Linked DNA regions of Sus scrofa. The protein of the gene in region 1 interacts with the protein of each later gene in a pairwise test. Links are inferred from orthologs where the notes say so. Each region holds a gene or a part of one and is shown in the gene's direction. Other genes may lie near its edges. The genes, in order: ABTB1 and EEF1A2.

Region 1 (8,657 bases):
ACAGCTGGACACTCAGGCCCCGTGGGTAGGCTCCCCTGGTCCTCCACACGCTGGCCTACTCCCTGGGTGTGTTGTTGCGGGTGGGCAATCTGTGCCCCAGCTCACCTGTGAGTAGCCCTGGGCAGGCCCTGTGCCCTCATGGTGGGAGGCCAAGGCTGGAGGAGGTGCCTGGAGGCCTGCAGATCTTGCTGCTCCCACAGTCCCCCCGAAGCTCAGTTCACAGCCTCTCCCACAATCCCTGGAGCCTGAGTGGCCCCTGTGGGTGCTGGGCCTAGAGGCAGGGTCACTGGGCCCACCCCTCACCAAGTACTGGGCTCTCTCTGCCCTTGTAGGAGGTGTTCCGGCGGCACCGAGGGCTGCAGCTCCTGGCCCTGGTAGAGGAGGTGCTGCCCCGCCACGGCAGTGGCCGCCATGGGGACTGGCACATCTCCCTGAGCAAGCCCAGTGAGAAGGAGCAGCATCTTCTGATGACCTTGGTGGGCGAGCAGGGTGAGCTGGGCAGCACCGGCCCAGCAGCTCCCAGGAGGCTGCAGGAGGGCATTTGTGGGGATACAAGGCAGCGGGCTGAGTCCTGGTTGGTTCTGGAGAAGAGGAGGTGGTGGCCCCTGGACCAAATGGATACAGTGGGGGCAGGGCTGTGGGAGAGGCCGCCCCGGGGCCACACCTGTTGCATGGTGGGTATCTGTGCATCTGCATGTGAGCCAGTGGGTGGGAAGCAGGTACAGGATGGTCTGCATGTTCTTGGGGCACAGGAGGAGGTTGGGAGTCTGGGTGGAGGGTCCGACGGGCAGCGGCCGCGCTCTGCTGACGGTGGTGTCTCCCCAGGGGTGGTGCCCACTCAAGACGTCCTGTCCATGCTGGGTGGCATCCGCAGGAGCCTGGTGGAGGTAAGGGTGCAGGCCATGCTCCTGTACCCCTGAAGCTCTGGGGCGGGGCTGCCTTCCCTGAGGGCGTTGCAGGCTGTGGCGTGAAGGGGCCCTGAGTGGCTTGGCTGCAGTCACTGAGACCCAGCCCTCTAAGGAGCACAGCGCTACCAGTCGTGGTACAGGTGATGTGGTGCCAGGTGCAGACCCAAGCTGCAGAGGGCAGTGGTCGGGAGGACACAGGGGAGTGGACCTTGGTGGGGTGTGTCGGAAGGTAAGCGGAGTTCTCTGGGTCAACAGTGGAGAAGCACAAGTCTGGGCCAGGAGCTGTGCAGAAGTTGGCTAGGTGGGAATGATGTGACATGGTTTCCAAAACCACAAAAGAAATCATCACCAGGCACTCCCTGCTGGGGATTGGCTGGTGCTCTGTCAGCTGGGGTGGGGGAACACTGGTTCCGGCTGCCTGGCTGGCCCTGAGACCTGGACCGAGGAGACAGGCTGGCCAGCCTCTGCTCCAGATGCCTCTTCCCTGAAGGGGAGACCCTCAGTTCCTCCCCTCCCTTGGGGACAGCCTGGTGTCCCCCAGACTCCTGCCTTTCACTGTGGAATCCAGGGGCCTGTCAACAGGGCCCTGTAGTGTGTGATGGCAGAGTTGAGGCATGCGTGACTGTGGGCCCTGCCTCCTTATCCAGTGACCCATGCGTCCTGCCTCCTTATCTAGCCTGTGCAGGGCAGAAGGATGGCCTCTGAGGCTGTTTGGGGTTTTGATAAACAGACTGGGTGCTGAGAGCCAGATTTCATTCAGTTCTCCCATCCCACCTTCACCATCACCCAGGGATTGTGGGCAATGAGCGAGGCCCCTGTTGAGGACTGTTGATACCCCATTTAAGACGAGAGCTGAAGCCCAGAGCAGGGAGGTGACTCGCCCCAGATGGCACAGCTAGTGAGCAGTAGAGTCAGGCTTTGGACTAGACCTAAATGACTCAAGAGCCTGGGCCTTTCACCATGAGGCTGTATCTGCACCACCTGGATGGCCACCAAGAGCTGTTCCAAGTTGGCAGATTTGAGGTTCATGAACTGGGGGCGGGGGAGGAGGTGCTGGTGGAAACTTGAGCTCAACCTTCTACAGACCCTCCTGCCTCTTCCCCTCTTCAGTATTCTGGCTTTACTGAACACTTCATTGAGCCTGACTTGGCCCAAAGGCATGCTGGGTCTGGAAGTGTATGTGGCAGATTTAGCATGTGCACTGACCTTGATAAATTAAGAGTAGGGAAGAGTACTAGAAATACATAGGTGGTTCACAGGAAGAAGGGCTAGTACCTGGCCTTAGAAAGGGGGCCTGTGGCAGAAAGGGGGCCTCCCAGGTCTCTGCACCCAGAGCCAGAAGACAGCACCCTCCCCCTGGCATCTGGCATCTGATGGTGGCACTTCACATTTCCTGCTCCCCTCCACCTGGGATGCCCAGTTGGGACAAAGCAGCCTCTTGGACAGAGAAGGCCAGCCTGCCCAGGACTGCCTGCTGTGTGGGAGGGTGCTGGTCACATTGGGACCACTCCAGTGAGCAGAGGAGGAAGCCAAGAGGCTGGGGATGGCCTGGGATGTGGATCATCCCAGCCTCCTGTACACTCTCTGGCTCACATGGCCAGAATGATAGCAGAACACCCCTGCCCCCACAGGGGAAGCAGTGTTTCAGGAGCCTGAATGGGTGGGTATGTGGTGGAAAAAGTGAAGAGAGGGGCTCACAGGTGCCTTTGTCTTTTTTCAAAGTGGGGGGATGGTTGGGACTGTGCCAGCATGGGGCCAGACCTGGGGCGGTGGGGGTGGGGGTGGGGGTTAAGGCTACCTGCAAGTCCATTTAGGGCCAGATCTCCGCACAAGCAGAGTTGGGGTGGGCAGAGCTGAGGCCAGTATGTGAGGGAAGGCTGAGAAGGGAGGTGGGCAGAGTCCTTGGTGAGCACAGGCCAGGCATGTTGCCCACCCTGAGCTCCAATCTGGGGAGACCTAGTACCCCAGGACCTCAGCTCAGAAGCCGGCCCTCCTGTCCCCAGATTGGCATCCAGAACTACTCCACTACAAGCAGCTGCCAGGCCCGGGCCAGCCAGGTGCGCAGTGACTACGGGACGCTCTTTGTGGTGCTGGTGGTCATCGGTGCCATCTGTGTGGTCATCATCGTGCTGGGCTTGCTCTATAACTGCTGGCAGCGCCGGCTGCCCAAGCTGAAACACGTGGTGAGCGTGAGGGTGGGTGGGCAGGGGGCCTGGTCCGGGTGGTATAGGGGGTCCAGCTAGCCGGGCACCTGAAACTTGGGGTCCTTATTTGTGAGTGAGGTGGCAGTTACTAGGGGGTGGGTACTGTGAGTTGAAGTCCTTGTCCAGGGCCCAGCTCCTGGTTGTCAGATGCTGGAGGTGTGGGTTGTGGGCCCAGTTCCTCCTGGGCAGGGCGGCCTTGCAGACGCCCCGGTTGGGGGTGGGAGTGGGGTGCAGGCAGTGCACACCTCCCTTATTTTCTAGGAGTCTCTGGGGTGGTGGAGGGATAGACGGTGTCAGGGAGGCCACAAGGCTGATAAGTGTAAAGGGTCAATGGTCATTTTAAGAAAGGAGTTGAGCTACAGGACCAGAAGGGGCTGTCTGTCCGCTGTCCGTCGAGGGTCCGACAGGGGTCCCCTGTCTAGGGAGGGTCTGGAGGGATGTGGGGCGGCGGGGCCGGCGCGCCCGCCCAGCCGCCCCTCCCGCCGCAGTCGCACGGCGAGGAGCTGCGCTTCGTGGAGAACGGCTGCCACGACAACCCCACGCTGGACGTGGCCAGCGACAGCCAGTCGGAGATGCAGGAGAAGCAGCCCAGCCTGAATGGCGGCGGCGCGGTCAACGGCCCGGGGGGATGGAGCGCGCTCATGGGGGGCAAGCGTGACCCCGAGGACTCAGACGTGTTTGAGGAGGACACGCACCTGTGAGGGGCTGAGCCCCGCCCGGCCCGGGCCTCGGCGTGGGGTCCTCTGCCTCCCCCTCCAGTGACTCTCGACGCATCTCGGCACCCCCCACCCCCCCGACCCGACGCCCCGCGGGGCGCCCGGGACCCTATTAAAGCCGCCGGGAGAGCACGCCGGCCCGTGGTCCGCCTAAGCGACTCGTTCTTACTCTGGGCTGGGGTGGGGGCGGGGCAGCGCGCCCGAGTCGGTCCTCCGAGCGCCAGGCGCCGCTGCCGAGCGCCCGGGCGGGGCGGGGCGTGTTTATATCCGGCCGGGGCTCTGAGGTCGCCTGGCGGGGGTCCGGGCCGTCCGCGCCATGGATACGTGCGACCTGTTCTCCAGCTGCAGGAAGGGGGACGTGGGCCGAGTGCGGTGAGGACCCTTGGCCCCGGGAGGGTGCCGGGTGGGTGACCCCGCCGCAGACCCTTCCCCCGTGGGCGCCCAGACGCCGAAGCAGGGCTGCCTAGGTTGCCACAGTGCTCTGGGGTGGAGCCGGGGATCGGGGAGCTCTGGCGTGACTCCTCCAGGGGGTCCCGGAGGAAGGTACTGCGACGAGAACGCCCGGAGGGGGAGAGGAGAGCGCGGAGAGAAGAGAAGGGCCCGGGCGCCAGACCCTGGGGGCCGGCCTGGGACTCCGCGATTCGTTTCTGATGCGCTGTGGACCCGGAGCTGGGGTCTCTAGTCCTCGGAGATTCGGAAACTCCCCAAGTGCGGCTAGAGCTGACTGGGCGCTGCAGTCGCCATCTCCGTGGGCTGCCTGATTGGGATGGGAGGCACCTGCCCACCTTCGCCAATTCCTGACCCGCACAGCTCCCCCGCTGCAGGTGCCACTTGTGATGCTGCTGGGAGCGCTCTTGAGGTCGGCCCAGGTGTCTCCCCCAAGGCACTTCCTCCTCTGTGGTGGCTCCATCACCACCCTTGTTGATTCCCACTTCCCCACCCCACCTGCTGCCCTGTCTCCTGACATCCACCTTCTAGAACCTACCTTTTTGTCATTTCCACATCACCAGTATGCCTGCAGCAGCTCGTGCTCGGCCTTGCCACCCCAAGCAGCCAGAGGGCTCCCACAGAGGCAGAGGCCCCTTCCTCTCCTCCTTCCCAAAGGCTTTCTGCCCAGAGGCCCCTTCAGTTCTGGGGCCTCTGATGCTGGGTTTCCCATTGCCACTCCGTGGTCTCCTTGTCTCAAGTGCCTTTCCTGTTCTGCTCAGCCCTCACCCGCCCTCACCTGGGGAGGCTTCCTTCCTTCCCCTCCTGAAGGTTTGCTCTCCAGACCAGGAACCTGGCCTGACTCAGCTCTGACTTCCCTGCCCAGGTATCTGCTAGAGCAGCGTGACGTGGAGGTGAACGTGCGGGACAAGTGGGACAGCACCCCGCTGTGAGTGCCGTGGGGGGAGCAGGGGTGGTCAGGGTTGGTGGCGCTGCAGGCCTGACAGCACTGGGTCCCTTCCCCTCAGGTACTATGCCTGCCTCTGTGGCCATGAGGAACTTGTGCTCTACCTGCTGGCCAATGGTAAGTGGGTTGGGGGCGGGGGGCTGCATGCGGGTGTTCACAGTGGCTCTGGATCTCTCCCCTTCACCTGCATCCCATCAGCAAGTGCTTTTAGCTCTGCTTTGGGAACTAGTTCTGCGTGCTGCTTCCAGCAGCTCAGCATCTCCCTGCAGTTGATGTCACCTCTGGCCTCAAGGCTGCCCCTTCACCTGACCAATGGTTTGTTGCCCTTTGTGCAGGCTTTCCCGTCTGCCATGGAGCTGGATGCCCTGTCAGGCTGGGAGCTTCCCCAAGACCCACACTCCCCCTCCCGCCTGGCCTGGTTCCTCAGGGCCTCTTCCGTTGCCATTCCTCCTGCTCAGACTGCCCTTTCCCTTGTTCTCATGTGGCTCTCGTTTAGTTTAGGCCTCTGCACCTGTCACTGTCACAGTCCATCTGTGGCACCTGCCACCACTGTCACTCTTCGTCTTACTTAGTTTTTCTTCAGAGCAGCTGGCATCAATTGCTAACCTGTTTTCGCTGTCCTGGAGCCTCAGTACCCCCTCAGCTAGGGGCCCATCAGTTTACAGTCTGTCTGTAGAGAACAGGGCTGGCCACCGAGCTCTCTGTCTCATGTGGTCTGGGCGTGCTTGGGCCCTGGCTGGTGTGTGTGTGTGTGTTGGGTGAGACTTTCCCCTGGCCCCTCTCCAGCTGCAGGGGGCAGCCCCATGGCCCTGCTGATGGGAGAGCCATGCTTTTCCCAGGAGCCCGCTGTGAGGCCAACACCTTTGATGGTGAGCGCTGCCTCTATGGAGCGCAGAGTGATGCCATTCGCCGGGCCTTGCGTGAGTACAAGCAGGTGACGTCCTGCAGGAGGCGGGATCACTACTACAGCTTCCTGCTCCGGTGAGGAGACAGCCCTGCCTGGTGGGTCTGCAGTGGGTGTGGCCTATGGACCGCGGCACCCTGCTGGGGGGCAGGAGGGCGGGGCATACTGCTGAGCACCCCTGGACTGCTCCCCAGGCTTCTGGAGCAGGGCATCCACAGTGACGTGGTCTTCATGGTGCATGGGAGGTCTTTCCGGGCTCACCGCTGCATCCTGGGTGCTCGCAGTGCCTACTTCGCCAACATGCTGGACACCAAGTGGAAGGGCAAGAGTGTTGTGGTCCTTCGGCACCCCCTGGTGGGTCCATGGTTTGGGGTCGGGGGTCAGCAGGGGGCTTGTGCTGAGTGACTGCCTCTGACCGCAGTCTCTGCCCACAGATCAACCCTGTGGCCTTCGGCGCCCTGCTGCAGTACCTGTACACAGGTGAACCCCGGGTCTGGGTAGGGAGGGGCCACAGCACACCCAGGTGCTTGTCCCCTGCAGTGCAGGGCAGCCTCAGCAACCTCCTGGGTTGGCTTTTCCCACCTGGGGCCAGGCTGGGCAGAGGGACTGCCTCCTGGAATTCTGTCCAGGCAGCAGGGTCCCGTTCAGACCCTGAGCCTCCCTCCCGTGCTGCACCCACACCCAGGCTGCCTGGATGTCAGTGTGGAGCATGTCAGCGACTGTGAGCGCCTGGCCAAGCAGTGCCAGCTGTGGGACCTGCTAGGTGACCTGGAGGCCAAGTGTGAGTTGTGTGTCCAGCCTCAGGCCCAGGGCCGCGGGCAGGAATTGGCAGGGCTGCCCCGCGCCCTGAAGCTGTGCTCTGCCCTCCGCAGTGGCCTCCAAGCCAGGCACGTGCGTGAAGGTGCTGACCATCGAGCCCCCGCAGGCAGACTTACGGCTGCGGGAGGACCTGGCCCTGCTGGCGGACTGTGCCCTGCCCACTGAGCTCCGGGTGAGCACCTTGCCTAGGAAGGGGCGGCGGTTTAAACCTAAGCCTGGCACTTCCCTTTTTTCTAGCCACACTGCTGGCTTGTGTTCTGTGCTGTGTCTGGATCTGCAGGTGGGGCGGCGGTCACCTTCAGGTGTGAGCAAGAGCAGGCCCTTGGCTGGGGCCGGCTGCTGTCCCTTCTCCCGCCTGCTCTGATGGCACCTCCTCTCTGCCCCCCAGGGTGATCTCTGGGAGCTGCCCTTCCCTTGCGATGGCTTCAATGGCTGTCCTGACGTCTGCTTCCGAGTGGAGGGTTATAACTTCCTCTGTCACAAGGTGCCAAGCTTTCTCCCCCTGGACTCCCACCCCTGCCTTAAGCTCTGGGCCCAGGTCCCCGCCCATCCTGAGCCCAGCTTCCCCTAGGCCTTCTTCTGCGGCCGCAGTGACTACTTCCGGGCCCTGCTGGATGACCACTTCCAGGAGAATGAGCAGCTGGAGGCCCAGGGCAGCCTCCTGGCCATCACCCTGCACGGCATCTCACCTGATGTGTTCACCCACGTGCTGTACTATGTCTACAGTGACCACACGGAGGTGTGTATACCGGATGGGGGCGGAGGGGAGGTGTCGCAGGCCGCGGGGCTCCAAAGGGGAGCGCCCAGCTCTAGGGCCAGTTCTCCGTGGTGCTGGGGAAGGGAGCGTGGCCCCATGGGGACTTTTCTATAGGTAGAGGGGCCTTGATAGGTTCCAGAGCAGGAATGACAGCATCAGCGACCTGGGATGCCCAAGTTCTCCAGCTAGAGGCGGGGTGGGGACAGTCACCTCAAAGTCCCACAAGGGTGTTGGGGTTGCTTCAGCTGCCCTAAGGCCGTCCCCACAGACAGGGCAGCAGGAAGCAGAGGGTGAGCATCACTGCCACACAGGCTAGTTTTTGTTTTTTTTTTTTTTTAAAAGCCCCAAAACACAATAACTGAGGAAGAGTTTGTTGTTCCTGGTTTCTCTCTGAGGTTAGTGCCCAGGGCAGGTGGCTTACAGGGCCCCGAATCATCCCCTCCATCTTGTCGCCCTGGTGTGCCCTGGGGCAAGGTCAGCACACTGACTCCCTGAAGGGCTTGTGGTGGATGCTGCCAGCCATGGGGTCCCCATCATAGTTGCCTCAGGAGGAGGGGGATACTGGTAGGCGGTTTCCTCTGGTCCTGGTCTTCAGGCAGCTGGAAGCTGTGCCTCGAAAAGGCAGGTGCGAAATGTGGGCTCTGGCCTCGGGGCTTGAGGCCCAGCTGGCCTGTGACATGAGCCCCCAGCTCGCCAACAGTCTCCAGGTGTCTTTCTGCACCCCCTTCTTCCCTTGCAGCTGCCACCTGAGGTGGCCTATGATGTGCTGAGCATGGCTGACATGTACCTGTTGCCAGGCCTGAAGCAGTTGTGTGGCCGCAGCCTGGCGCAGCTGCTGGATGAGGACAGTGTGGTGGGTGTGTGGCGTGTGGCCAAGCTATTCCGCCTGGCACGGCTGGAGGACCAGTGCACTGAGTACATGGCCAAGGTCATCGAGAAGGTGGGTGTGGGCCCAG
Region 2 (7,411 bases), on another chromosome or scaffold:
GTCAGAGCCCGGTGGGACCCCCAGCCCCCTTCCGTTCAGAAGCCTCTGCATCCCCTCCTCTGGCCAGGGCCGCTCCCCGGGGCGGACGTCAGAAGGCAGCCGCCGCTGCCGCCCGCCCCCCATCTCTGGACGCCCCGTGTGGTGGGGCTGGTTCTCACCTTCCCCAGGATCAGGGGCCAGAGGCTGGCTCTCTGCTGGTCAGCTGGGGAGCTGTGGCTCTGGCTGCGGGTGTCCTGAGGACTCGGACTGGGCAGGAGGTGATGAGGGGAGCCTGAGACCCAGCGCCTGGCAAGGGCGCCATAGGACAGCCGTTCTGGCCAGGCTGGGGGAGGCGGGCGTGGAGGGGGCCAAGGAGACCCAGGGAGACTTAACCTGGAGCCCCGTGGTCGGGGTTCCTGGTCGGGCTGGGTCTCACGTGGGACAGGGCCACCGACGGGGGTCAGGGAGGCCAAGGCTGGGGGGTGGGGGAGGGGCGCTACAACAGGTGCCTTCTTCCTCCCGCCCAGATGCCCTGGTTCAAGGGCTGGAAAGTGGAGCGGAAGGAAGGGAATGCCAGTGGCGTGTCCCTGCTGGAGGCTCTGGACACCATCCTGCCCCCCACACGCCCCACAGACAAGCCCCTGCGCCTGCCGCTGCAGGACGTGTACAAGATTGGCGGTGAGTGAAGCCTCTTCAGCTGCCCTCCCAGCCCAGCCGCCGGCTCTGCCCTCAGACCCCTCCTGAGAACCGGCTCTGGCGAGGAGCCTGGGGCAGGGTTATTTCTGCCTCTCCCCCGAGGCTGCACTCTTTCCAGGGGACCACCCACCCACCTGTCTTCATCCATTCATCTGTCTGTCTGTCCCTCTGTCCACTCCCACCTGCCCATCGGGCTGTCCCGCAAGGGTCCTCCTTCCTCCAGCTCAGTGCCCAGCCCTATGCCAGCAGCGGGTGGCACAAGGGAGCCACACGTTGCCCTCGTTGCCCTCCCCCTGGAGGTCTGGGGCCTGTGGGAGACATGATCCACTCCAGAAGGAGAACAGCCATTCATGAGATGGTACAGAACCTTGAGCAAGTATGAGGCCCAGGAGGGCAGCGGTGGGGGCTCGCGGCCAGCAGGCTGCGGCTGGAGATGTCAGGCCTGTGTGCAGACTGGGGGTCCACGCCCACCCGGCACAGAGAACGCCACCAGGCTCGGTAATGCCACACGAGCCGCTGTCACCGCCAGGGAGACCAGGAGGAGCCCCCTGCCGCCGCCCTAGGGGGCACCGTACCTCTTCAGGAATAGCCCCCGAGACGGCAGCACCAGTACTGGGCCGGGTCAATCCAGGGGGACCGGTTCATGCTGCTGCCTCGGAAGGAGAGGCCCCGGAGAGGGGAGGCGGTCCCTGGGGCAGGGGCGGGACCCCTCTTTCAGACGGCCCTCTCCTTGCCCGTTTGCCCCGTGTTATGGGCACTCTCTTCCCGAGTCCCTTCTCCCGGAGGGGCCGGGAAGCTCCCACTTCTGGCCGAATGTCTCGGCGTCTCCCTGTCCCCTCACCTCCTCCATGTGGCCACCCCTCCCCTGCCAGGGCGAAGGGCACCCCCCGCCAGGCCTGCCTTCTCAGCCTCCTTCCTCTCGACGCAGGCATTGGCACTGTGCCTGTGGGCCGAGTGGAGACGGGCATCCTCCGGCCGGGCATGGTGGTGACCTTCGCGCCCGTGAACATCACCACTGAGGTGAAGTCGGTGGAGATGCACCACGAGGCTCTGAGCGAGGCCCTGCCCGGGGACAACGTCGGCTTCAACGTGAAGAACGTGTCAGTCAAGGACATCCGTCGGGGCAACGTGTGTGGGGACAGCAAGTCCGACCCGCCCCAGGAGGCCGCCCAGTTCACTTCCCAGGTGCGCGGCCCGGGGGCCAGAGGGCCGTCTTCCCAGGCAGCGCAGGGCTGTCCTCGGCGAGGCGGCTGCCTGGTGCCAGGAAGGACTCGGATCCCCACGTTAGAGACGGGCCGTCGAGGCCGGGCGGAGGTGGAACCTCAGGAAGAGCCGACAGGGTGACCAGGCTGCCCAGCCTCAGGGGGTCCCACTTCGGTCCTGGAAATGCTGTAATCAGCTTATCGCCTGGGGCCCATCTGCAAGGCTCTCCTCTGTTTTCACTGCGCCTTCTTTGGTCATCTCTTTATTTATTTATTTATATTTATTTATTATTATTATTATTTTTTGTCTTTTTGCTATTTCTTTGGGCCGCTCCCGCAGCATATGGAGGTTCCCAGGCTAGGGGTCGAATCGGAGCTGTAGCCACCGGCCTACGCCAGAGCCACAGCAACGCGGGATCCCAGCTGCATCTGCAACCTACACCACAGCTCACGGCAACGCCGGATCGCTAACCCACTGAGCAAGGGCAGGGACCGAACCCGCAACCTCATGGTTCCTAGTCGGATTGGTTAACCACTGCGCCACGACGGGAACTCCTGGTCATCTCTTTAACGTGACTACAAAGTTTGTCTGTTTTTCTTTCTCTCCTTCTAGGGCTTCACCCGTGGCATATGGAGATCCCCAGGCTAGAGGTCGACTCAGAGCTGCAGCTGCCGGCCTGCCCCACAGCCACAGCCCCACGGGACCCGAGCCTTGTCTGTGACCTACACCACAGCTCATGGCAATGCCAGATCCTTAACCCACTGAGCAGGGCCAGGGATCAAACCCGCATCCTCGTGGATACTAGTTGGGTTCTTAACTCATTGAGCCACAGCGGGAACTCCACTACAGTGTTTAAAATTGGCTTTACTGAGGTATGGTTGAAATACGACAGTCGGGCCCGGGTTTGTCTCCCTGCTCCTTCGGCTCTGGCCTCTGGCCCTTTCAAATGATGCTCTCGGTGTTTATCTTCTGTGGCTTTTCAGACCCTTGAAGACAACCAGCCTCGGGCTCTGTAGGTCTGGGGGCCTGGGCCCCCTGGAGCCTGACCGTTCTCCAGGGTCAGCACCCAGGGCCCCTGGGGTGGGCAGGGCCTCTTCCAGCCTGGTGCCCTCCTCTGGTGCCCACCCGGGGCAGGGCTGATGGCCTCTGCCACTCTGCCCGCAGGTCATCATTCTGAACCACCCGGGGCAGATCAGCGCCGGCTACTCACCGGTCATTGACTGCCACACGGCCCACATCGCCTGCAAGTTTGCCGAGCTCAAGGAGAAGATTGACCGGCGCTCTGGCAAGAAGCTGGAGGACAACCCCAAGTCCCTGAAGTCTGGCGACGCGGCCATTGTAGAGATGGTCCCTGGGAAGCCCATGTGTGTGGAGAGCTTCTCCCAGTACCCGCCCCTCGGTGAGCCGGGAGGGGAGGTGGCGGGCCCAGGCCAAGGGCAGGAGACCCCTGGGTGGGGGGGGGGGGTGGATCCTGAACTTTGCTGCAGCACTGAGAACTCAGTAGGAGACTCCCGGCCTTGGCCTTTGTCTCCCGGAGCACACGTGGCCCCACTAGGTGGGCCTGAAATGGTGTCCCCTCTGCAAAGGAAGTCCCCTAAGGGAGTGGTCCAAGGCCCACAGCTAGTCTCGAGGCAGAGTCAGACTGACCTCCTGCCTCCAACTGGCCTCCCTCACAGATACCCTAGGATGACCCACAGACCTGTATTGGAGAGCTGCCTAATGCCAGGGTGGGGCCACCGTCAAAACAGCCGAGCGTGTTCTCGGCATGGTTCACAGGCCATTTACTTCTGGCAACTGTGCCTTGACGGAGTCCTATGTGCATCTAAGTAGATGGGAGCCCGTACTCCACCCTGTCCCCGGAAACAGGCGCAGGGAACCCCGTCCCCACCGCGAGGGTCGCAGCCCCAGGGCCTGGGTTGGGGAGGATGCTGCGGGCGCGAGTGCGCCTGCGCGTGGCATCCGGGCCGGCTCTTCACGCCTCCTACCCGCAGGCCGCTTCGCCGTGCGCGACATGAGGCAGACGGTGGCCGTGGGCGTCATCAAGAACGTGGAGAAGAAGAGCGGCGGCGCCGGCAAGGTCACCAAGTCGGCGCAGAAGGCGCAGAAGGCGGGCAAGTGAAGCGCGGGCGCCCGCGGCGCGACCCTCCCCGGCGGCGCCGCGCCCCGCCCTCGGCCCCGCCCCCGGCCCCGCCCCCGGCGCGGCCCCGGCGCCCCGCCCCCCCGCCAGGCGCATGTCTGTACCTCCGCTTGTAAGAGGCTCTCCGTCAGCGACTGGATGCTGGCCATCAAGGTCCAGTGGAAGTTCTTTAAGAGGAAAAGCGCCCCCGCCGCCCCGGCTTCCGCGTCCAGCCTTCGCCACGCTCAGTGTCCGTTTTACCAATAAACTGAGCGACCCCGGAACCGTGTGTGCGCCTGCTGCTGGGGGGTGGGCGGCCCGCCGTGCGGGAGGGCGCGCCTTCGTACCCCCCACCCGGCCCCCCACCAAGCTGCTAGCCCAGCGGCCCACTCGGCACCCACTGGCCCTGCGGCCGATCTGGCCAGGTGTCCACCTGCATTACCCAGGGTGGGCTGTGGGCCGCTGGGTCTGGAGTCCAGAGGGTGAGGGGACTTTGGGGTCCCCCTGTGGGGGGATCCAAGGCAAAGACTGGGTCACTGCGGAGCTGCAGAAGGGGATTGAAAGTTTGGGGGTCTCTCTGAGAAGGGGATGAGCCCAGAGCCCCTCCCCCGCGAGTGGCTCTCACACACACTGTGCTTCGCCCGGGTCTTCCGGCTCCCTGGCTCTTGGAAGCCCAGTCTTACTGCCCCCACCGCCACCCCCGAGCCGGTCACTGTGGCTGGAGGCTCCTCAGCGCGGTCCTTGGTACGGCAGGAACTGCAGCCCCAGAAACCCCAGAACAAGCCCTGACCTTGGTCAGCAAGCACCGGGGGGCTGGCAGGACCACGCCCTGCCCAGCCATGCCTGCGCCCAGAAAGCAGCGGCAGTGCGCGTGCGGGGGTCAGGGTGAGGATGAGCTGGTTCCGACGACGGACACAGCTGCCCACAGCAGGTCTGGGCTGGGGAGAGGAGCAGGCCAGCCACAGGGTCCCCTGGGATTGAGTCCCCTGGGGCTGCAGCAACAAATGGACTGCAAGCTGGCAGCTGAAAACCACATACACGAACCGTCTCAGTCCATACCACTGGGACAGACTCCAGTGCAGGCAGGGTCTGCTCCCTCCAGAGGCTCCAGGGAGGGTCTGTCCTGTGCCTCTTGCGGCTTCTGGTGGCTGCCCAAGTTCCCTGGCTTGTGGCCACATTCCTGCAACCTCTGCCTCCACGGTCGCATGGGCTCATCTTCTCTGGGCCAGTCTCCTCTGCCTCCCACTTATAAGGACGGCCCAGGGCCATCTCCTCATCTTAAGATCGTTAGTTTAATTACCTCGTACAGCGCTTTCCTGCCATATGTCACACATTGCAGGATCCAGGAACTGGCACCTGAAATCTCTGAGAGCCAATGGAGCCAACTGCCCTGGTGGGGGGTTGGGGCTGGGGGGGAGGGTGTGGATTATGCCCCGAGGAAGGACCAGCCAGGAGAGACAGGTGTGCTCGGCTCAGGGGTGTCCACAGAGGGGCTGCGGTCTCTCCCCGCCTAGTCCCAAAGTGGGGACGGGCCCCTGAAGCCACAGGCAGGGAAGGACCAGATGAAGAATGACTAGATGAGCCGGGCAGAGTCAGATGGGACCCCTTCCCTTGGGTGCTGCTGGCGGCCACAGAGCTGTGTGGGAGGGTCTGGGCTGACCCTCAGAGGCCTCCAAGGAAGGCGGCTTGAGAAGGCAAATACAGACACAGAAACCCCAGGCAAATGTGGATTTCAGATAAACAGAGGATACTTTTTTTTTAGCATAAATAAGTCCCATACGATACCTACACAGAAGGATCTGGTGCTTACCTGAGACTCACACTTGATGGTGTGTTTTACCTGGAGGCCCCACCCAAGGAAACCGGGTACCTCCAAGCTCTCCTGAGCCCTGGGCTTCCTGGGCCTCTGCGGGCCACCATTGCTGGCGGGAGGGACCTGGTGTGACCCTGCAGACTCTCCCGGATGCTGTCCTTACACACTTGGCCCAGGTGGAACTGGGTTCCAGTCCTTACACACTTGGCCCAGTTGGAACTGGGGTCCGGTGGGAGAAACCTATCAGGCTGAGACAGGTGAGAGTAAATCCACCTTCCACTGGGGTCAAAGGAAGGCCCCCAGAGAGGTCCCTGGGGGAAGCCTCACCCTCTGGTCCCAGTGGCTCTTGCAAATTTGTCGTCCAGATGGAGAGTGCAGGGGGTGTCGGCCTGGCCTGAATGCCGGGGCTGCCCTTGGGGTGGCACTGCCTGCCCCCAGGTGGGCATTTCTGGGGTGGGGACGGGGTACAGAGCTTGCCATCCTGGAGGACTCTCAGGATGGCATGAGGACAGAGGTGGGAGCATTTGCCCGTTCCCGTCAGAGTCTGAGGCTGGTAGACAGGGGTCCCTGCCGTGGCGGAGGGTGGGGTTTCTCAGAGAATCTCAGCCCCTCAGTCCCCCTCCTGGAGTGGAGTGATAAAGGCAGCCCCAGGAAGGCACAAGCTCCTAGTCTGAGGCCTGGCAGGGACCCTGCACCTCTCAGGTGCCCTGCTCAGTGTGGGCTCCAAGAGGTGACAGGAGAAATTGGGACCTAGCTGATGGGGACACGCAGTAGCTCCCGGTGTCCACGCGGGGGCAGCACACGCAGCCTCCTTTCCAGGAGTTTCCCCGCCGGCCTCACTGCGCGCCCCTGCCTGGCTCAGCACCCTGCAGAGCTGGGGGTGGGGTGGGCAGGGGCTGGGTCTCCCGGCTGTCCCGGGAGCCAACCACACTCAGCGGGAGGGGCTTCAGAGGGAGGGTGGGCACTGCCCCACCGCGGGCCTGGCGGTGGGAAATGTGCCCCTCTGGGGAGGGAGGACTGGGCGGGAAAGGCAAAGCCCCTCATCGCACTCTGGGCAGCGGTTCTCAACCCCTCACAAAGTCAAGCACCACCGAGGTCGTAGCCGTGAACTTCAGGGCCCTGGAAATGAACGCGGGCATGTTTCAAGCAAGAGCACCCAGCACAGTTGTCACACAGCGCGTGGTTCGGAGAAGCCTCTGTACCCGGGCGAACAGGCGGGACAAAGTCAAGGCGCTGGAATTACTGTGAAAACAATTTTGACCTTGAAGGCCTTCTGAAGGTTTCTGCGACCCCGGGGTGCCTGCACGGAGCTTAGGGGACCTCGATCTGGGCAGGGCGGGCGGCCAGGGTGCAGGTTCCCACCCCGGCTCCACCCGCTGCGCGACAGGCAGGTGGTGGGTGGCGGAGCCGCTGCGGTCAGGTGCTCGCAGGCGCAGGCGCTGCGCGGCGGCCTCCTCGGCTGCCACCCTGCCGCTGTCCAGCTCCAGGCGCTGAGGCGGCCCGGTGAGGAGAGTGGGGGGGGCCCCTTGGGTCCGGTGGTGGGTGGGTCCTTCCCCACCGCAGGGCAGGGGGCGGAGTCCACGGGCCTGGGGGCGGGGCGTCAG

The links.
Region 2: the proteins of ABTB1 (region 1) and EEF1A2 interact in binary tests that used the Homo sapiens proteins (3 or more experiments, as listed by UniProt). The two-hybrid records come from large-scale screens. The link is inferred for Sus scrofa from reciprocal best matches to the Homo sapiens genes ABTB1 and EEF1A2.

What each region holds. Positions count from the first base shown.
Region 1 is NC_010455.5:72,574,632-72,583,288, reverse strand, and holds the start of ABTB1 (ankyrin repeat and BTB/POZ domain-containing protein 1), read left to right. Parts: upstream 1-3,813; 5' UTR 3,814-4,144; coding exon 4,145-4,200; exon of another isoform or gene 4,201-4,664; coding exon of another isoform or gene 4,665-4,687; intron 4,688-5,140; coding exon 5,141-5,203; intron 5,204-5,282; coding exon 5,283-5,338; intron 5,339-6,007; exon of another isoform or gene 6,008-6,047; coding exon of another isoform or gene 6,048-6,060; coding exon 6,061-6,202; intron 6,203-6,319; coding exon 6,320-6,479; intron 6,480-6,559; coding exon 6,560-6,605; intron 6,606-6,810; coding exon 6,811-6,906; intron 6,907-6,997; coding exon 6,998-7,116; intron 7,117-7,332; coding exon 7,333-7,428; intron 7,429-7,515; coding exon 7,516-7,683; intron 7,684-8,043; coding exon of another isoform or gene 8,044-8,196; exon of another isoform or gene 8,197-8,434; intron 8,435-8,440; coding exon 8,441-8,641; intron 8,642-8,657. Other genes in the region: PODXL2 (podocalyxin-like protein 2), read left to right, coding at 333-489, 826-887, 2,912-3,091, 3,601-3,813. UniProt on the Homo sapiens protein: May act as a mediator of the PTEN growth-suppressive signaling pathway. May play a role in developmental processes.
Region 2 is NC_010459.5:62,514,678-62,522,088, reverse strand, and holds the end of EEF1A2 (elongation factor 1-alpha 2), read left to right. Parts: intron 1-506; coding exon 507-657; intron 658-1,603; coding exon 1,604-1,860; intron 1,861-3,042; coding exon 3,043-3,277; intron 3,278-3,869; coding exon 3,870-3,997; 3' UTR 3,998-4,278; downstream 4,279-7,411. UniProt on the Homo sapiens protein: Translation elongation factor that catalyzes the GTP-dependent binding of aminoacyl-tRNA (aa-tRNA) to the A-site of ribosomes during the elongation phase of protein synthesis.